Oreochromis niloticus: one gene and its partners. The protein of the gene in region 1 purifies or fractionates together with the protein of each later gene. This does not show direct contact. Links are inferred from orthologs where the notes say so. Each region holds a gene or a part of one and is shown in the gene's direction. Other genes may lie near its edges. The genes, in order: usp4, dcp1b and rbbp8.

Evidence for each region.
Region 2: the proteins of usp4 (region 1) and dcp1b purify together in Homo sapiens (co-immunoprecipitation; 3 studies listed by BioGRID and IntAct, with this or other methods). This does not show direct contact. The link is inferred for Oreochromis niloticus from reciprocal best matches to the Homo sapiens genes USP4 and DCP1B.
Region 3: the proteins of usp4 (region 1) and rbbp8 purify together in Homo sapiens (affinity purification with western blotting; 3 studies listed by BioGRID, with this or other methods). This does not show direct contact. The link is inferred for Oreochromis niloticus from reciprocal best matches to the Homo sapiens genes USP4 and RBBP8.

What each region holds. Positions count from the first base shown.
Region 1 is NC_031970.2:22,490,262-22,497,360, reverse strand, and holds the start of usp4 (ubiquitin carboxyl-terminal hydrolase 4), read left to right. Parts: upstream 1-3,993; 5' UTR 3,994-4,103; coding exon 4,104-4,255; intron 4,256-5,515; coding exon 5,516-5,643; intron 5,644-5,801; coding exon 5,802-5,932; intron 5,933-6,019; coding exon 6,020-6,146; intron 6,147-6,240; coding exon 6,241-6,386; intron 6,387-7,036; coding exon 7,037-7,098; intron 7,099-7,099. Other genes in the region: emc3 (ER membrane protein complex subunit 3), read left to right, coding at 14-93, 222-304, 404-532.
Region 2 is NC_031981.2:10,690,596-10,697,629, reverse strand, and holds the start of dcp1b (mRNA-decapping enzyme 1B), read left to right. Parts: upstream 1-3,981; 5' UTR 3,982-4,237; coding exon 4,238-4,396; intron 4,397-4,752; coding exon 4,753-4,793; intron 4,794-5,742; coding exon 5,743-5,870; intron 5,871-7,034. UniProt on the Homo sapiens protein: May play a role in the degradation of mRNAs, both in normal mRNA turnover and in nonsense-mediated mRNA decay. May remove the 7-methyl guanine cap structure from mRNA molecules, yielding a 5'-phosphorylated mRNA fragment and 7m-GDP.
Region 3 is NC_031974.2:26,340,715-26,348,345, forward strand, and holds the start of rbbp8 (DNA endonuclease RBBP8), read left to right. Parts: upstream 1-4,592; 5' UTR 4,593-4,730; coding exon 4,731-4,733; intron 4,734-4,755; exon of another isoform or gene 4,756-4,838; intron 4,839-5,196; coding exon 5,197-5,323; intron 5,324-5,434; coding exon 5,435-5,477; intron 5,478-5,573; coding exon 5,574-5,669; intron 5,670-5,989; coding exon 5,990-6,081; intron 6,082-6,298; coding exon 6,299-6,371; intron 6,372-7,599; coding exon 7,600-7,631. Other genes in the region: fam168b (myelin-associated neurite-outgrowth inhibitor), read left to right, coding at 1,349-1,418, 1,523-1,606, 1,914-2,056, 2,142-2,337, 2,421-2,533. UniProt on the Homo sapiens protein: Endonuclease that cooperates with the MRE11-RAD50-NBN (MRN) complex in DNA-end resection, the first step of double-strand break (DSB) repair through the homologous recombination (HR) pathway.

The sequences.
Region 1 (7,099 bases):
GTGTATTATGCAGGGTGAGCTCAGCATCCTGGTATTTCCTGAACGTGTTTGGACTTCGAAGCATGTACTCTTTAATCCTAGGCCAAGATAACGGTAAGTGGAGTGTTTCACAAAGTTGAAATTGGTTTAAATGTTAAAACGGATAATTAGATTACATCATGTGACTTTAGTGAAAATGTCCACATACTGATTGTGTTTGCTTTGTGTCTGAATGCCCGCAGGCGCAGACCAGTCGAGGATCATGCAGGAGCAGATGAGCGGTGCTGCCATGGCCATGCCTGCAGATACAAATAAAGCTTTCAAAGTATGTGTGTCTATAATTAGTTGAATTAGCTACAGAGGGGTGGAGGTTGGTGGCACGGGGCCTTGGTGATTTAATGTGCTGTTTGTTTTTGATTTTTAGGCTGAGTGGGAGGCACTGGAACTGACTGACCATCAGTGGGCGCTTGAGAATGTAGAGGATGATCTGATGAGCCGGGAGTTGGACTTTGATGGCATGTTCAGCAAGGAGCTGCCAAGCGGTATCTTCTGATGGCCTAATCACTTCCTTTTTGGAGACTCCAATTTCAAATTTGATTATTTCAGGGATTTGTTTTGGGGGGGTTTGTTTTGTTTTTTTGTTGTTGTTGTGTGTGTGGTTTTTTTTGTTTGTTTGTTTGTTTTTTTTTAAAATCTGAAACCACACAACTGGGACAAATCCCTTCATATGCAAAGTTTACATCATCTAATTTGTTGTAGTGGTCTTTTCACATGTATCTACCTTCCATTCCTGTCCATAAATGAACTGAAATGAACACAAATACACTGGTTCTACTGTTGCCTCATGCATAATAGAGAGCTCTGCTTTGTTATTTCAAAGGAAGAAGGGGCTGTTCTAGAGAAATTAAGTGATGTTTTTTTGATTTTTGAAACATGTTCTTGTTGGCTTGAAACTGAATGCAGTCATAATGCCATTAAGTAGTAGAATCTGAACTGCCTAGTGCTTCTTCTTCCTAATGTCATGCACAGCTAGTTAGCTGTCTTCATTTTGTATGTGTCATTTTTAAACAAAATAGTACATAAAACAGTTTTACATTTCAGAATGATCTATATTTAATAATCCTTTAACCATCCGTTATTGCTCATATCTTAGATTGTAGATAGAAGCAGGTCCAGAACAGGTTAGGTTTGTTTGTTTTGTGGCAGGGGAAATGTTGAGTTTTGTCATCAAGATATTGTTTTTGAAGTATGTAGACGGTTTATTTTGTAATTAACTCCCTTGTGTTTTGTACAGTATAAAGTCTGTTTTGATTCAAAATAGTTTTATTTGTTTTCCATGTACACTAACACTTTACTTTTTCAAATATGAAGAAAGAGATGTTTTTGTTTTGTGCTGGGGTTTTTTGTTTTTGTCTTTTTTGTTTCTTTGAATAATAACGATCAGTGTAAGAGAAGAAGCACCACAGCTGAATATTCAAATAATACACATGTCACATTCATCCTCAGTAAAAGATTTGAATAGATACCGTGGACATTAACATTACTCTTTTGTTGTCAGTTTTCCACAATACAGCGTCTACTTCATTTACCTGGGTTAGGATGATTGGTAGTGAGGAAGTGAGTTGAATTTTTTAAAATGGACAAAATGTCAGTTAAAAGTAAGTTTGTTTTTTAATTATACTGCAATCTTGTTTTAACAGCCTGTCAGTCATGTTCACATTAGTAAGTTAAAAAAAAATGCAGGCAAGTGAACAAATGAGTTGAGGAACATGAAGGATGATCATGCTTCCACACAGGTAACATAAGCATCCAATTATGCTCTGTGGAATACAAAGGGGTCCAAAGTGTGCCAAGAAAATATTCCCCACACCATCAACACCAGCCTGAACTGTGGATACAAGGTAGGATGGATTTAGTCAAAATGGCACAAAAGAAAAAAAAAAAGGCTTCGGTGGTGAGTGCTTCAGTCACGAAGACTGCTCAACTGGGCAGTGTTTCAGTAAGAACTGTGACCAAAGTGAAATGTGGATTTCGATCTATAGAAAAGACAAGCGATTAGAGCTGTGAAAAGGCTACATTTCATGACTATGACGCTTAGGGAAAAATGCAGCGTCTATGAATGGAGTCATTTGATCTCATATCACCATGGGCCTTCTGCTTGACCATTTTTGATTGTATGGTACAAAGATTGGGCATATATAATGATTGCTATGAAATATTAACTTCATATATCAAATACATTTCAAGATGTACTTTTCTGAAAAAAATCATCCATTGACCCTCTTCCATAGTTTTTTTTCCCACAATTTGAAATCTAAGGCAATGTTTGAACATGAATATCTCAAATACTAGACAATAAATGGACTAGTTCCCATATAGCGCTTTTCTCCCCTATGTGAGAACCTAAAATGGTAAATGGCCTGTATTTGTATAGCGCTTTACTTAGTCCCTATGGACCCCAAAGCGCTTTACACTACATTCAGTCATCCACCCATTCACACACTTGTGATGGCAAGCTACATTGTAGCCACAGCTGCCCTGGGGCGTACTGACAGAGGCGAGGCTGCGGGACACTGGCACCACCGGGCCCTCTGACCACCACCAGTAGGCAACGGGTGAAGTGTCTTGTCCAAGGACACAACGACTGAGACTGTCGGAGCCGGGGCTCGAACCAGCAACCTTCCGATTACAAAACAAACTGCCAACTCTTGAGCCACGATCGTGAAGAATGCTTTGTTCTTCACCAGGAGAGATTTATAATTGTGTCATTGTCTTCACATATCCTTCTTTTTTCACAATTCCTTCCGCCTTGAGAAGATTCCGCATACCAGAAGAACTGATCCCCACAGCACAATGCTCCTACCACAGTGTTACATGGTGGAGATGGTGTTCTTTGGGTTGTACGCCTCTTACTTCTTCAAACACAAGCAGCATTTCTATGAGCCATGAGCAAAGAGCTCTAGCTTTGTCTCATCTGACTAAAGGATACACTTCCAGTATACAGAGTCTTTCTCCAAGTTGTCTTTAGCATACTTCAGTCTTCAGTCTAGCTTGAAGGTGTCATTCCTGCACAAGTGGAGTTTTTCTTGGTCTGCAACCTCGCAGTCCATTCCTGTGCAGGGTTCTAGTGATTGTCTTCTTTGAGACTACCATTTCTGACTTGGCTCAGTCATTCAGTAATGTCTTGGCAGTTGTTCTTTAGACACATCTCTCACTTGATTTCTTTCCACAGTGTTTGAAATCTTTTGCTTCCTACCTCTGCCAGTACAAGCTCTCACATTTTGCAAGATACATACCTTCATATGCCAGGCTTGTTCTGTACTGTGTGGCAATTTTTGAATTTCTTGACAGAAATCAAGATTGAATTATTTTGCTTTTGGCATGATGCTTTCTCAGGTGGCCGCTCAAATCTTTGCTAAGGTTTTTAATACTATGTGTAAACTGAAAGACAGCCCTCAGTTTTGACTTGATTTTGCAAGCTTTGAGTATTACAGAGTTAAAGCCCGTCATTGCACAACAACGGTTTGTGCTGTGGGTCAATGAAAAGGCCAGTTTTTCAGGGGGCCAATAATACTGACCCTGGTAATAATCCTTTTTTTTCTGAAATAATTTATGCTTTCTAAAGAAAGCTATTATTTTTTACAAATGCTATGTTTTAAACTCCTTGCTATATTAAAAAGAAGCACTTGGAAAAATGTTGACAAAAACTTTTAAATCATAGAGAGGATAATAATTTTATCCTCGTCAGTAATAATAGGTCATTGTTACACAAAAACATTTGCATTTGCTCTCCGTTAAAATTTAGTCTTCTCTTTATTTAACTGCCTGGACGTCTGTTTAACGAGCTCTAAAAACCTATAATGTAAGTGAAAATTATCATCAGATTAGCGAACACAGAGCTGAAGCACAGGAACTGCAAGATCCTTTTTATGGGAAACTTGCTGTCAGTCAGCTGGCATTTGAATGTCTCGTAACTTACCGGTTTAGTAATGCTAGTGACTGAACGCTGGAGTGCAATAGCAGCTCTCCGGGGCTATGCGCCGCCCGTAGAGGAAGAAGGTTTTCTATGAGCCTGTCCCAGTGCGTGTGTTTCAGCGCGTTCACGTTACCGGCACACAGGCTGCATGATGGCCGAGGGAGGCGGACCCGAGTCGGGTAACGCAGCGGACTCCGACTCGGAGCCGGTAGCTGCACAAATACCGACTCCATCAACCGAAAGTCAAAAACAGACTATTGGGTCTCTTTTGAAAACGTCTCTGAAAAAGGGTGACGAATGGTAAGCTAGCGGCCAGTAATACTTGGGTCTTTAGCTATCATTAGCCGACAAACAGGAAGTGTTAGCATGCTAAGCTAGCAAGCTAATGACAGCAATGCTTGTAAGCTTGAACTCGATAGCTGCTGTGCTAATGATATTTTAGCAGGCTAGCACGCTTGCTGCTAGTCAGCCCGACATTTGAATTTCTCTGTTAGTACTAATGCCTGTATTAACAGATATTATTGTTGACGCACACAAGCAAACCAGCTGCCAAGTGACTCATTTGTACATTAATTAGTGCCTGTTTTGTGATAAGTTGAGCGGCTTTAGCAGTCGTGGTAGCTAGTGGGCTGTCAGAATAACTAAGGCCCTGGATTCAGATTGTAGTTTCATTTTCCAGTGAAACCGTGTTGTTGTCAGTTACGGGATGATGAGGAAATGGGCCCGCTGACAGAATTAATGTGAGAAGTAGTTACCTGCTTGTCATAACATACCATTTTAAGCCGTGTGATATTCCCCTTACCCGGCAAGCCACCTGTGTTAGCTAACATAGTTTCAGACCATTAACACTGCCCAGGCCTGGGCATAATGCAGCCGGTGTACTAAAGAGGCTTCACCTCAGCCAGTAAACACAACACCACAGACATGTGAGATGGGCAAGCGTCCCCGTTAATCTCATTTGTTAATAGAAGTGGGTGCCAAATGACCAGGTCACGTTCATTCTTGCAGCCACTAGCTGCAAAGCTAACCTGTTTTTCTGGAGTTATTTAAATGACTCGGCCCTTCCATTTATGGTATTGTTAAAATGGAACTACTATCCCGTGGTATTTATTTCCAGGAGCCTTAAACACTGTCAGGCATAGCTTGGCAAAACTAATCTCGGGATAAGATCATGCACCTGTTTGTTTGACACTTTGAAGCCCATTAATTTATAGTGTTGACACGAAAGAGCCATTGTCCAGCTTTTTGAATTAGCATTTGAATGGTTGTTGCAGTGTGGATACAAGCTTATTAACCAAAGGAGATTCTTTAGATGAGATTAAGTCAAACTAGCTTGCAGTTACTATAAATGCCAAGGCAGTTTGGTATTGCATAATCTTCTGGGAAAGTGTAGGGCTGTGTGCCCTTTTATACCATACCTTTTAGAATCTCTTGACCCTTTTTTATGCTGGGGGAAGAAATCCTTTACGAGATATAAATGCTAAAGCTTTTAAGGGGAAAAGAGCATCTTCCAACGAGTGATATGTTTTTCTTTAACTGTGACTGATCAATTTGTTTTAGGTATCTAATAGACAGCCGGTGGTTCAAACAGTGGAAGAAGTATGTGGGGTTTGACAGCTGGGATATGTACAATGTTGGAGAACGAAGCCTCTATCCAGGACCAATTGATAACTCTGGCCTGTTCTCAGGTAAAATTGTCATTTTAAAACGAATCCCCTAATGGACTGCTGTTGATTTTGCTTGAACAATATAAGTTCCACATAGAAATAAAAAAACAAAACAAAAAAAATTTAGTTCCTTAGCTTATACTTATGTTTGTTTGTTTTTTTTCTTTTTCTCCTTAAAGACCAGGAGACTCAAGCCCTGAAAGAGCACCTTATAGATGAGCTAGATTATGTCCTAGTACCTACTGAGGCATGGAATAAGCTAGTCAGCTGGTATGGCTGCCTTGAGGGCCAGAGACCTATCGTCAGGAAGGTAAGGCTGTTAAAGATATTCTTAATTTTAGCCATGTACCAGGGTGCGTGGACTGGGCTTCCAAATGTCTCTTTTTTTTTTCTCTAGGTCGTTGAACATGGTATGTTTGTCAAGCACTGTAAAGTGGAGGTGTATTTGCTGGAGCTGAACTTGTGTGAGAATGACAATATGGACAATGTTGTTACACGTCATTTCAGTAAAGCTGATACTATAGGTGAGCATCCACATGTGTCATTTATGGGTTTGTGTTTGCTGAATAAAACTATTTGACTCTCCATGCTTATTTATCAAACTTTTCTCATTTTTAGACACTATAGAGAAGGAGATGAGAACACTGTTCAATATCCCATCAGAAGAAGAGACCAGGCTCTGGAACAAATACATGAGCAATACGTACGAGCAGCTGAACAAGCCAGACAGCACCGTACAGGATGCTGGTCTTTTCCAGGGACAGGTAGTGCTATTCAAATAAGATTGAGATTATTGTTTGACTACAGCTCAATAATAAACTGATCCTCACTCATGTACATAATTCATTTGCAGGCACTGAAAAGAATAACAAAAACACCAGAGAGCCTACTGCCGTGTAGTACATTAGCACTGCAATAACATTTGTTTAGGTTGTATTAATGTGTAAGTGTTGCTGCAGGGAGATCAGGTTATGATTCAGCTATGTGGTTGTTTTTAATTTTGACATTGTGCTGCAAAGATAATGTATGCTGTTTATTTTATTTGCCCTTTACATTAATATATTTTAGTAGGAAGGAAAAGCACCTCTTAGTATATGAGACTGAGGTGGTGATTGGAGACTGCTAGTTTGAATTAGGTGTCTGTGTGTTATATTCACAATCTAGGTTAGAGAAGATGAAGGCATTAATTAACTTCATTTATCACAGCAGCCACTGAAATCCAGATCAGTCATAGCAGCTTTCAAATTAGACGAAAAATACAATGTATTAGAATAAAGAAACATTAAAGAATAACAATAAAGAAACGTTTGGTGGCATTTGCCATTTGAGTATTAAACTCGAGCCTGAGATGTGAAAAGTCATGCATGAAATTCAGGTGTGCCAACCTAGCTTTCATACAGAATATTTTCCACAGGTGCTTGTGATTGAGCGCAAAAATGAGGATGGTACGTGGCCCAGACAAGCTTCACATCCCAAG
Region 2 (7,034 bases), on another chromosome or scaffold:
GTTCAGGCTGTACTGAAGAATAAAGGTGGTCAAACACTTCCTTTAAAACTCATTTGAATTGTTCACACTCTGTTATTGCCTTACATACTATATTTCTATGTATGTTTGCACATGTTTCAGTAAATCACTGCACCAATTTTCCTAGAAAAATATAAATAAATGAGTGGTGATTCAAGACTTTTGCATGGTACTGTATAAACTCAAGTTTTTATATTTAAAGTCTAATGAGGACCTAAAATGTAATGTCTGCAAGTATCTAGATGTATGGCTGAAGGTAGTCCCAGATTGAACGATGAAGGAAGGCTCATTCAGTCATTGTGCTCTTTATCTCACCTCCAAAGATATTCCATTAAAATAATAAACGATACAGTCAAATGAAAAAGAGCGTTTTCACTGGACTCTATGCAGACTTGTGAAAAACAAAGTACACCCTCGTCTTGATGCATTCTCAATCATCCAGGTAAGTAAATCTCCAAAGGTTGATTCTGTTCATCTGGACGTAGCGTTTTCAGTGGGAGAAACATTTCGTCACTCATCCAAGTGACTTCTTCAGTCTCAGCTGACTGCAGGTTTCCCCACTGCTTTCACGGGAATCAAGAAGATAAGTAGCAGCCAGATGCTGCTAGTCAGATGCACCTAATTAATTTATCATTAGCAAGTATGAGCACCTGTGTAGAAGCAGAGGTCAGATCATTCATTGCTTAGAGAAACTGCAAACCCAAGAGCTAAATCTTAGCTTCCACAGGCTTTAGTTAGTACATTAAATGTTAAGGTTTACGACAGTACAGTTAGAAAAAGACTGAACAAGTGTGGCTAATTTGGAAGGGTTACCAGGAGAAAGCCTCTAAAAACATGGCAGGGGTGCCACTTTAGCTCAGTGGGTGAGCAAGTGACCACATGCAACATGGTCAGAGCGCAGTGACCTGGGTTCAAGCCTGACCTGGAGCCCTTTGCTGTGTCTCCTCCCCTCTCTTTCTCCCCAGCTTCCTGTCTATCTTCACTGCTACACTATCTAATAAAGGCAAAAGTCCTGCCCCCCAAAAAACAAAAACGTTTAGGCCTGAACAAACCACAAAACTTCTAAAACAATCTGCTTTGTGTAGACAAGATCAAAGTGGAGATTTTTGGCCATAATGTACAGCTCTATGTTTAGAGAAAAGCAAACAGCATATCAGCACAAACACCTCATACCAGCTGTCCAGCATGTTGGTGGAGGAGTGATGATTTGAGCTTGTTTTGTAGCCTCTGGACCTGCACACCTTGCAGTCATTAAATTCCTCTGTATACCAAAGCATTCTTGAGTGGAATGTGAGGCCATCAGTCTGACAGCTAAAGCTTGGCTGAAATCGGGTCGTGCAACAGGACAATGCCAAGTGCACCAGCAAATCTACAACAGAATGGCTGGAAAATAAAACAATCTAGGTGTGGCAATGACCCAGCCAAAGTCCAGACTTCAGCCTGATTGAAATGCTGTGGTGGGACCTTAAGACAGCTGTGCATAAACAAATGTCTGCAAACCTCAATGAAATGAAGCAACATTGTAAAGAAGATTGGGCCAAAATTCCTCTACAATGATGTGAGAGCCTGTAAGGTCCTACAGAAAATGATTACAGGAGTTATTGGTGCTGAAGGGGGTTCTACAAACTATTGAATAATAAGGTGTCTTTTATTTTAACAGGAGTACTTTTAATACTTTTAAACATGTACATATAACAGTGTTTTTACATTATGTTACTATTTTTTCTTTTCAGCAAACATCAGTTTGCATTTCATTTAATATGTTGATAAATTATTTAGTTTTTCATCTTTCAATGTGTCTAGTACAGTATAGCACAGTGGGCATATAGACAATTTTTACACTTTGGAAGCTCAAATTAAAACACAACACCCCAGAAACCAATGCTTATCCAAATCTTGCTATTCCAACACTCTGTCCACCGGATAAATCCATGCATCATTTCTGCCTGGGAGCCAATGATGAGCATCTCATGGTGTGTCCCCACTAGTCCACCACTAAAGACATCTATTCAGTCTTGACTGATTATCGGCAGTATTGACCTGCTGATGGATAAGTCATTAGCCTCATCATTTACCAACTCACACCCTGAACAAACAGATAAATAACACCCTGACACACGTGCATGTGCGCCTTGAAACACACACAGCACTAAATCTCTGACAAATAGGCTCATGCTAAATCACCAGGAGGTGCATGTCTTGGCCTGACCTGGAAGTGTTTCATTCATATTTAAGAGCAGGATTTGTGTACAGCCTTGGCGTGGTGAACCCTTCACCACGCCAAGGCTGGTGAAGGGTTATTGGGCTGAGTGAATAGCTGGATGTTTTTCTTTTTTAAATTGTTTTTCTCAAGGACACTCTGATATAGCTCTTGATGGATGTGTGTCAACTGTTTTACATTTCAGACTTGTGCCAGGTTTAATTACTGAAGCAACTGTTAGCATACCACTGTTACACTAATGAGAAGAAGTGCCTATATAAAGCTAAACAGTAATTTAGTGATGAAGAGCTTCTCTGTGATTTCAAGTCTAATGGACACAGTGATTGCACAAGACGTAATGCTCTATCAGAAGGAAGAAGAGGAACAAGGCCGGGCTCATATGTTCACTTGAAGAGTTTGCTATGCCTGCTCAAGCACCCTTGAAACAGAACAGAATGTGTTGAACTGAATATAGAGATTCATTGTCAGGTGATATTGTCTGATATGGCAATTGCTGAGATGAATTTCAAGAACTTACAGTCCTGAAAGTCCTGTTCCTGTATCAGTTACTGTCCTGTCCTTGAGTATTAATTTCAGGAAGGATGTGTCTCATTTCTGAAGCCTAGAGCTGGTAGATAATGTAAACCAAAAAGAAGGGGGAAAAAACAGTTTGAAATGACCTAGGAATAAGGGAAAAGAGATTTTCGCATAACAGTGGGATAAAAAAAATGAAATCCTTTAATATGCCTGACAAATGTTCACTGTAACTGTCAACTTTGTAAAACTTCACTAAGTAGGCTATCTTAACTGGGTCCAACAAGACACTAAAAGGCTTTCAAGAAAAGGCTGTCTTTGCCCTTCTTCTCTCCTCTTTATCATTCCTTATTGAGCACAAATGGCCGAAAAACTCCTGATGTGACTCAGGGCCAGAAAAAAAAAATGCAATTAAGAAAAATATATCACGACACTGAGATAGAGGTTACTTTCTTATGAAACTGAAATCTTTTAAGATGGATAGATGTCCATTTTAGAATATAAGTGGTTTTGCTTCTGACTGCTTGTGTCTGCTCTTCTTTTTATGTAGACAATAAGACATTAAACGCATTTGCAGTGTAAGCCTTCTTACAAATACGTCTGTGTGTATTCTTCCTTTGCATTTAGATCAAGTCCAGCTCTTGCAATGAAATGGGAAAGGATGGATGCCCGATTTAGCCATCCCTTTGGCGCCTCCTAGTGCATTTGAGGGGTGGTGTCACAGAGGATTGGGTGCAATCAGTCTTTATCAGTGTAATATAGCCTACTTAAAAGAGAGGTGGATGACAGAAGAGAAACATCAGCTGCTTACTTTTAGGACACACACACAATTAATATAGCATGAAACAAGATAGCTTTAAATTAAAAAAAAAATACTAAGGAGCCCCCAATCTGCAGCAAAATATAGTTTCTTTCTCTCTCACACACACACTCACACTACAAAACATTACCATTATTAACACATTACAATGCCGTTAATATATATAGACAATATAAAAAATGAGCAAGCCCGTTTGAAATAACATTACCTCATCTGACGTCAGTAGTGTGTACTGATGACAGAGTTATAATTAAATGAATGCTACCTTCAGCTACAGAGCATAATGTACATATTGATTTAATCATGGACGGTATGTATAAGGAAATATATAGGAAATTCCGTGCAGTTGATTACAGGACAGCTCCATCGATTTCTCGAAGTTGATTGTTAAGGCTGAAATCTCCAACTGCTGCGCAACTAGTCACGTCTTCGTTGTTTACAATCTCGGTGAAATATGGCCATTTTCAAACTCACTCGTAGCAGTTACAGCTAGGGAGCGCTTGACTTAGTTTTATAATTATCAATTTTTAACTTGAAAAATAGAATACTGTACAGCCATCGATTTAACTCCCTTTACCTTTCCGTTTATTTGGATTTTACCTCTTCTTACTGTGAGTCGGTAGCCGCTAAAGCTAGTTGACAAGCTAGCGTCTCCATAGGGAACAATGACAGCGACTTCAGCAGGTAGCAGTGGCTCTCTTGCCGCTAAAGGACTGGATATAAGTCTGGCTGCTCTGCAGCGACAAGACCCATACATCAATAACATTGTGGACCTGGCGAGTCAAGTTGCCCTGTATACTTATAACAACAGGACAAATGAGTGGGTAAGCCGGAGGGTTGGTGAATGTGTCGTGTGCTAACTTAGCTTTGTCACTGCCCGTTCGGCGCGCTTTGACAGATTGAAACTTACTCAACTTACAAGAGACTATTGTAATTAACGTTATTTTCCATAAAAAATAAAAATTGTTGTTGCTATGTTATGTTTTACTTCACATTATATTTGGAGACTTCCCTTAAATGTGCTATTTTGACTTTTTTGTCACCTACAAAAAGTCAAAATACTGGACTTCTTTTTGAAAGAATAGCGAGCAGGTGCACAAGTTAATATCAACAGAGATAAGGTTGAGCAATTATGAAATGGAGTTGATTTAATTGATTTTGTTGTCTTTTTTGTTTTAAGGAGAAGACAGAAGTGGAAGGTACTCTTTTTATTTATACAAGGTAATGAAAATGCCAACACTGTTATTAGACAATAGACTTTATATATATATGTTTATGTGTAACATTTTCCTATTGTTCCCTATTGAAAGTAAAATCTTGTCATTTGTGACACATTTACTAAATTAAAAACTGTGAAGCTGGCATGAATGGGACGTAACAAAACTGAACTGAGTTTGATAATGTACAAAACTATAATAATATGTAATGTGACCTCTATAAAAGCAAAAGTTTTGGCAGTGCAGCAATGCTCAGGGAAACTGCAAGGTTACCAAGAGAAAGTCTCTTTTCTTTTAAAAGAACATAGCAGCACAGCTTAGGTTTGCAAAGCTGCATCTGAATAAACCACAAGAATCCTGTCCTTTTCAGAAATGAGGCAAAAGTGGAGCTGGACAGAGCCGAGAAAACCAAACTCAGCATATCAGAACAAACACATCATACCAGCTGTCGAGCACGGTGGTGGAGGGTTGGTGATTTAGGCTTGTTTTGCAGGGACAGGACCTGGATACCTTGTAGTAATTGAGCCTACCAAGAAGATCAGATCTGGGGCCATCTGTTTGACATCTAATGCTTGGCTGAAATTGGGTCATGCAAGATGACAATAATCCCAAGCATAGCAGCAAATCTGCAACAGAATGACTGAAAAAGAAACTAATGAAGGTGGTGCAGTGACCCAGTCAAAGTCCAGACCTCAATCTCATGACTGAAAATCTGTGGTGGAACCTTAAGAGAGCTGCACATAAATGAATGCCTGCAAACCTCAATGAAATGAAGCTCCACTGTAAAGCAGAGTGGGCCAAAATTCCTCCACAATGATGTGAGAGACTGATAAAGTGAGACAGTGAAATTATTATTACTGCTGACGGTGGTTCTGCAAGCTACGTGACCAACTTAGTTTTTCCACAGGACTACATAGAATATGACACTATATTCTGCTGTCTTTAAATTTCAGGTTGGCCTCTCCTAGGCATGGTTTTACCATTATGAACCGGCTCAGCATGCAGAATCTGACAGAGCCACTCACCAAAGACCTGGACTTCCAGCTCCAGGACCCGTTCCTGCTTTACCGCAACGCACGATGTAAGGAGAAACTGACTGAATACACTGCAGTGATTTAATGCCATGTGAACTGTGCTTTCTTACTGCTAGTGTTTTGTACCGTCACACCTAAAGGGGAAGTAAAGTATTTTACCTAAACTTCTGAAGATTAGTCAATTCAAAGACTTTATCAAAGACTCTGTATCGTTTGAAATGTTTATACTAAAAAAAGACAACTGCATCGATATCCACAAGATATTGATGTAAAAGATGATAACATGATAAAAGTGCCCAAAGAGTCCAGCATGCACTTCATTTAAGTAGGAACTAGTAATTCCATATAAGGAACTAAGCTAAGGTACTCCAGTGAATTTTATCAGGCTGACTCCGAGACCTACATATGGCTCCTACATACACAAACACATTGTTGAGTGTGGCTCTGGGACAAGAGTCTGACAGCACTACAAAATCAGCCAGCGGAGATTAGATACGCTGCAACTGTCACTGATAATCTAAACACACATACATACACTCACTCACTCAGAAGTCGCTGGCACACACAGACCTCCCTCCCTGCCTCGGTCTCCCTCCATCAGGCTTAGTAAATGGCAGGTGGAATGCTGTGTTTAGATACCACTGAATTCCTTGTGCCTGCTTTGATCCTCTTACTGTAGTGCTTCATTTTTCTTACTGACACAAAGCCATTATTAAACATCCTGAAGGCTCAGAGAAATGATGTGTCTGGCATAAACTTTGCTCAGTGACCTCATTACACCTTTTACACCAGCCTTAAATGCACTCGGGGTGCATTAAAGATGATCTGTGATTGCGCTGGCCTGTGGTCAGAGCATCAGTAATGGCGAATAAATCTAAAGTGAGCTAACAGGCTTATCCATGGAAGGAACAAACTTTAACAGCATATAAAACTAGTAATCAAAACACAGTTAATGATGGTTTCCTCTGATAAAATGCAATTATGGGGAGGAGTTATGACTCAAAGAGTGGGTGGTTACATGGCAAACCTAATGGTCTACCCTAATGACTCTATTTGATTACGATGATTGAATAAAGATGATAAAATATCAGAAAAGGAGCTATGCAAAAGACTGAAATAGTAGCAGAAATAAACAATGGTATTAAAACAACCAGACAAACCACACCTCAGATGCTGTGAAAAACCTCTCAAGTTCAGCATGACTAAGCCAA
Region 3 (7,631 bases), on another chromosome or scaffold:
CAGCCTATCAAATAAACTGGAGTTAAATGTGGATTCACTTGTAGCGTGACTGTGCTTATTAGCAACCCGTGTAAGTGTAATTGTGAATTTATATTTACCAGAGTCCATTCATGAGCACGTTGTAACGAGGTGGAAGGGTTTTATGTGTTTTTGTTTTTCATGCTCACGTTTTTTAGCTACCGCTAGGTGGAAGCACAGATGCATTAAACTCAACCCAGCCACCGTCATGGGAAGCAAAAGTCAAGGTTTCTTCGGGAAATTCGCTAAGAAAGCTGTAAAATGTAATAACAATAATGATGCATTTTGTTTCAGACGCCTTTCAAAACACTCAAGGTCACCTTACACACGGTTTAAAGAGATGTTCTGATGCGAGAGAGAGTTAGGGATATGGATATTTGCTGGGAGGGAATTCTAGAGGCCAAGAGCACAGCCAACTCATGATCTAGACCCCATGGTAGGAGGAAGAGGAGGAGATAGCATCATGTTAATGTGGAGTAACATCTCTGAGGAATGTTTATAGCACCTTGTTAAATTTAAGGTTTGCCCCGAACAACAGAATGGCATCAAAAATGCAAAATCAAAGGTCTAGCTGAGTGTATTAATTTTCCAAAAATGTCTTTCACAAACTGCTCACGAACATTGTGTAGAGACTATTTGCGCTCGTCTCTCTTTCTGCTTTAGACAGTGCTGAGAGCATTGGGAACCATGTTGACACCATTTTTAAAAATAGTGCAAGCACCTTCTCTGTGTTATGTTTAATATCAAACAGAATATATAGTAATGCCAATACAACTGTAATAGGTGCATGTCAGCACACAGTATCAGAAAATGCTTATTAGTCTGGTCTTCGCTTTGTTGTTACCGTGACCTTGCAAGGTCATCTCATGCAGACCGCTGTCAGTCTTCACTGAGGGAGAACGGTTATTATTTGTGGTCCCTTTTAGCTGTGTCGTTAGGTAACAGTGGTAGTTTGGCACATGTGATGAAATATAAATGTAATGAAATGTGACGAAGCTACAGTAACAGCAGTCTAATAAATGGACAGTATGTCAAAGTCTAAGCTCCAAAGAACACACACCAAACCAGTTTACATGCTTAAGATTTCTGAAAGCCAAACTGAAGGTTTTGTTTAAACCTTCTGAGGAATCTTTTCACAATCACTGTGCTGTTTCTGGAACAACAGGGTCACAATCGACAACAACAGAAAACTTCATATTAGCATGTCCATCCTTTCCACAAGAGCTCTGCTGGCTCACAGATCAGCAGTTGATTTCCACGCATGATGTTTGCATCGTTCCAACCTGTTTGTGCTTCTCTTATTTACAGCATCTGCAATTAGACAGCCACAATGAACCCAGTATACAGCCCTGCACCAACAGGGGTCCCCTTTACCAACACTAAGGGTATAGGTTATCCAGGTAACCTGAAGCATAGTGGTTTAAGAAACAAGCATAATTACAAGAAAATATCTCCCAGCATTGAGAATACTGTTATATTCTTGTTTTGTTTCTGGTTTTGGCAGCTGGATTTCCTCTAGGATACGCAGCAGCTGCTCCAGTGTACACTCCCAACGTCTACGCAGGAGCAAACCCAGGCTTCCCTAATGGTGAGAAGAAAGTAACGCTGAAATCTGCTGGAGTTTATCTGATAGGTCTTGAAACACATCTTCCTGATGCACTTCAAAAGAGTCAAACGGTTACAGCGGACTTCTTTTATTTGAATTAATTATAAATATAACGTAATAAAGAATAAAAGTTCCAAAGAGACTCTTAATAGCCCCAAAAAGTGTGTGTGCTTCTTTTCTATGAGGGTCCTGTTTTACTGAGCTGCACAGCCAGTGTTTCTACGCAGACTTCAGCTATTTTGTCCCAAAGCAAACGGCACTAATGTGAGCCGTCTTCCTCCCTCTCCAGGCTATGCTCCAAGCGCTCCTTTCAAAGTGTCCTGCTCTCCCAGCACAGGGACCGTCCCACCATACTCCTCCTCCCCAAACCCCTACCCAACTGCTGTGTACCCTGTCAGGAGCACCTACCCCCAACAGAACCCTTATGCACAGGTCAGTCCTCGCTTTTAATAACACGCCGTCTCTCTTCATCCTGGTTCAATGCTTGAGCTGTAACGTGTGGTTGTTTGTCCACCAGGCACTAATACCTTCACAACAACAAGGCCCTTACTACACACAGGCTCTGTATGCTCCACCGCCTCATGTCATCCATCACACGACAGTGGTCCAGCCCAATGGGATGCCTGCAGCAATGTATGCTCCGCCTATCCCTCCTCGCAACAATGGTGTTGCCATGGGCATGGTAGCCGGCACCACTATGGCCATGTCAGCTGGTGAGCTGCAGCGGTTTATTGATTCTTATCCAGGATACAAATGTGTTCGATTTGTAGTTATACCTGTGGCTTTCACTTCTCAGGAACTTTGTTGACAACTCCATCGCCAGCGCCCGTCGCTCCCCACCCAGTCACGATGCCCACATATCGGCCTCCTGGCACACCCAGCTACAGCTACGTGCCCCCGCAGTGGTGAAGAGAGAGAAGCGTGAGTATGTTTTAAAAGGATCACAAGTTTGGTCAAAGGTGCAGATTAAAGGTTTATGTTTACACCCGGTGTTCTCTCTGCAGGTCCGGAAGATGGTAGATATGCATTCACACTCCAGTGTTTTTCTCTCGTGGTGACGACCTGCCCCGCCCTGGCAGCGTCCGCTACCAATTCTTCTTCTTCCAGCATAATGTGAATCTAAAACCCAACTACATAGAGTCCCATTTGGATAAGCAGGGGGTGACAAATAGGCCCATCCCCACAACCCCTATTAATGGAATAAGGCTGCATTCCATACCCCCACGCCCCCACCCCCTCAGCGCCAGCACCTCTACAAACCTGCTGCATATCTCACGTCAAACTGCAAAGCCTCCATGCAAACTCTATGTGGACTCTCATGCAGGTTTTTATAGCTTAAATTCTTATGTAGTGAAAAGGGAGTTTGGAATAGTTTTTTTTTTCCTTTAATTTGGGGGATTAAATATGATGTTGAATGCATGTGTATATATAGATTTACAAAGTAATGCTAGCTCAATTCTCCCTGCTGTGACAGATGCAAATTCAATAAAAGGCACAAATCCAAAGGAACTTAGAAAAAAAGAGTAATAATCTGCAATGCTGAATCACCAGTGACTATGTCTTAAATGTGAAAGAAAAAAAAGACAAGAAACGTTTATTCATGCAAAAACATACCTGCGCCGTCCATCGCGGGCCAAACTGTACTATTTTTCACCGCTTTGTGTTTAGGTAAGTGGTTTTTATCGTTTTCTTTCAGTGATGCAGTGTTTGCATAATGTCTTACCATTTTTGTATTGTAGGAACAAAAGATGGGACTTTGAGTTTGTGCCTCTGTGACTGGTGGCCAATCCAACACTTTTACTTTTTCTGGCCTGTTAAACTTACTTTTTTTTTCATTTAAACAAATGGTGTTTCAGTTTCTTTCTCCCCCCCCCCCCAAAAGTCTGAAGCTGCTCCTGCTTGGGTGATATATGATGTATTCACTTATTTTAGCCAGAAGTGTTCTTGGTGGGGAACAAGTATAGGAAGTTATTAGAAGTCAATTGCACCCATTTAATAAGAGTGGATGAGCAGGAAGTGTGTGTGTGTGTCTGTGTGCGCGTGTGTGTGTGAAAACGGGACTCGAACGGAAACCATTCTGAATGGTGCCATACAGTGCAACATGCTTAGAATTTTAGACTTACATGTCACTCTAATGAATTTACTCTTAGGCAGATTTGAAGCACTACATCATTAAATCACCGCTAAATGTGGACATGTTAGGGCACCGTAATGATATTAAACTCCATTTGTGAATAGCACTACTGAATGAAGGCACTAATTCCAAACGGTTTGTAAAAGATATTTGACCTTTTCCGACATCGCTCGCTGTCTTACCTCAAGTCTCCAGGCTAAAAATCCACCAATGTCACTGTTTCAGACATGCTTTTCTATGTTGCCTCGGTCACCTCAGTTAAACATGTTTTGTAAATGTTATTTTTGTGACTTTGGTTGCTGTTTTGTATTCTAAAGAAAGACCAAAAATAAAAACAAATATAAGAATAACCTGTGTTGTGCATGTCTTCTCGCTGGGTGTGTTGGGGCAGCCAGAAATGATGACAAAACAAAGAAGAACATGAAACAAAATATATAATATGTTGGACGATTCAAACCGGTTTGAAAGGCAATATTTGGCATGACCATTGTTTTTTTACGCCCACATGGCATGCCAAATTTTCAGGTAATGGCTCTTTGGGAATCACCTTGTCGGTGGAAAAAATTTCTATTTCAAACCTGGAACTCAAAATATAAAGAAACACTCAGGACTTTTACACAGTACTGATTATGATATTGTACTCTAGTCCCCATGGCTCTGCTCTATATAGTATTATAGATTTTAGACATTTTATTCTTAAAGTTACTCATTGGTAATTGAGGTCAAGTCAAACAACTTTCTGTAACTTAATTTCATAAAACAAAATTTTAACTATTATCATTATTATTGTTGTTGTTAATTGTTTAGGGTTAGAGAAGTAGCAGTATAAACCACTGGCTGCTGTTTAACAGAGGATGGCGTCAAAGCTTTCCTACCTAAATTGGAAAACGAAGAAGAAGATTTCCCAGGTTGCAGTTCGGCGCGCGAATTTGGATTTTGTTATGGTCAAGCCGTAGACTGTATCGCTCAAACATGGTACTGTACTGTTAAACTATTTTCTCTTTGACAGAATATCCTAGTTTTTATTCTTTAGACGTGTCGGTGTAAGTCTGAGTCTGTTCGCGGCTGTCTTCTCATGAGGTCGTGTCATTAAGTCTAAACTTTGCATTTATTTCTTAATTGTAGTCTAAGTGGTTACTGGGAGAACAAGCCAAAAGACAGAGCTGAAGTTTTATTAATGCTTGTTCTAAAAGCCAATAAATAATAAGTAGTAAATATGTGAGTGTTGAGGGGGTGAAAGTAATTTTCTTTTTAGCTAATTAGCACTGAGTTTATGCGCGCCGCCATGTAGCAAAGCTAAAGTAGTCAAACATTTAACTTCCCGTGCTCACATTGACAAATGCGAATTAACATTAAGAAACACTAAAGTGAGCTGAAAGAAGGAATTTATTATTGTGAGGCAAACATGAAAACAAAGACTGCTGATTTGCGTTGGCAGGAAGAGAGCAGAGAGGCGCTTACAGAGAGTTTTGGAAACGACAGGAGCAGCGGGACAGCCAAATCAGCTGATCGCTTTCAAGACTTGTGGAGGCAGCTTGGAGAGTGTCACCAAAATGCACTTCAGGGTAACTGACAGTTTGATCTCACCACGTTCATGCTGGCTTTCATGTCTATAATCCGAAGTTCAGAAGCTAAATGACAACACATGTCATCATTGCACTTGTTGCTGTTTCTAGAATTGGAAGCAAAAGTAAGCAAGCTGAAAAAGGAACGTTGCCTGTGAGTATGTTGTGTCACTTTGTGTTTAAGGAGAAGGACACTGGAGTCTTAGTAAATTATTTATGAAGGGTAAAGTGATGTGTTTGTCCTCTACAGAGATGCGCAGAGGCTTGAAGTGTTTTACAATCGCAACCAGCAGCTCAAGGAGCAAAATAAAAACCTGCAGGATGACATGGCTCTCCTGGAGGAAAGGTAAATTACCCAAAGATGAATGCACTCCACTGTTATTCCCTTTGTAGCAAATGTTTTCGTTTGTTTGTTTGGAATAGATGTGTCTTGTTGAACCTCTGTTACATTTTAACTATAACTTAGGATGGGAGAGCTGCAGTTGGGCACCGATGTGGGATTTCTAATTAACTGGAGCAACATGATACCAAAGACAAGAATAGCCTTTTCTGATTCATTGCATGGATGCTTCAGATTCCCCGCAGACTGAAAGTTCACAGCATTTAGTGTCTTGCATTAAAACAATATGAAATATAAAGATTGCCAGCTGTGCTTTCCCTTTCCAGGCTTCGAGCAGCAGAGTGTGATCGATGCTCCATCTTAGAGGAGAACCTGAAAAACAGTCAGCAGCAGAATCTGCATCTTATCGAGAAACTTAGTGAGTGTTTTCATTTCAGTGTCCAACCATTAATAGCCCTCCCTGATGTGCATACACATATGCAGATGCAATCTTTCACAACAATAGTATGTTATATAATATGACGACTAATATACTAGAATGACTGTGGGGAAAAAACAAAACAACATTTCTTTAAGATTCTCAGTTTGTTTAAGAACAGAGAAAAACATTTTCTTTGCAAACCTTTTTTCCTCAGAAAATGAAAGAAACCTGCTGGAGGATGAAAACGATAAGCTGCGAGCTGAGCTGCAAAAACTGAAGAGTTCTCGGTAAGCTGTGTTGCATTCATGTTTTTGTTCACAAGAAAAATATGAGAAATGTTTTAAAAGGTTAAAGCAATAACTTGAAGTACTTTCAAGTTTATCAGTATCTCGCATCATGGAGGAAGTTTGACTACTCTTTACAGACTTGCATTGAGGTCTGGATTTTGACCGGGCCATTGCACAACACCCTGACTCTTCTGTTTTTCAGCCACTCTGTTGAATGTAGATTTGCTGGTTTGATTCAGATCATTGTCTTGTTGCATGAGCCAGTTATTGTCAAGCTTTAGCTGTCAGATGGATGACTTATACTTTGGTATACAGAGGAGCTCTAGGATGACTTGGTCTCATCTGTTCCAGAGGTCTTGTGGTTTGTTTATGAGCGTAAGCTAGCTATACTGTCATGTTCTTTTTAGAGAGAAGCAGCTTTCTCCTGAAAATGAGTCATCCCTGTTCATCTTTTTCTGACTGTACTGTCATGAACTTTAACATTCACACACTGAGACCTGTGGAGTCTGAGATGTAACCCCTGCTTTCTTATTTTATTGGGGGGTTTTTTGGGTTTTTTTTACAGTTTCTGAGCATTGTGCAGTCTACTCATGAAGGTGTCTCCTGACATTGATACGTCTGTCTCACAGGGACTGTTCTTGATTTGGTTAGATATTGTGAACAGGTTTTTCTTAGCCAATCATCCACTGCGCTCATGTACTTAAGATGTCTTCAGTAGTCTTTCATGTGTTTTGGTGTTGCCGAGCCTGGTTTGTGCATTTATTCTTTTTACAAATGCAAGTTTATTCTACTGCTCCGATAGGTTTTTGTTTTTATGGCTTCTTCCATTTGCGCCCAGATTTTAATTAATTAATTAATTTTTTTAACCTCATATTAAAAGTTTCACTGAAAAGTTACTAAATAGATTTTAAATATTTAAAATGGGGGGCTGTGTTATGATTCCTGCAAATAGCTGTAAACAGTACAATACTTTTGTTAAACCTCTTGAATTAAAACTTCTATAAAAATGTGTGTCACCTACATTGGTCAGACATTTCAGGAGTGAACAATACATTTTCCCAAGCTGCCACTCAGTATTATTATTTTTACGTGTTTATAAGCTTTTTGGTGCTAACAGCCCCAGTTTCTTCTGTGGCCCCTTGGGAAAATAAATTTCCCTCCTACAGGTTCGGTAAGTTTTAAAGTTTCAGTTTCCAGTGAAGCACTACACGTGTGCTTTTCTTTTCAGGTCTGAATCCAAGGAAGCCTCACCCCCAGAAC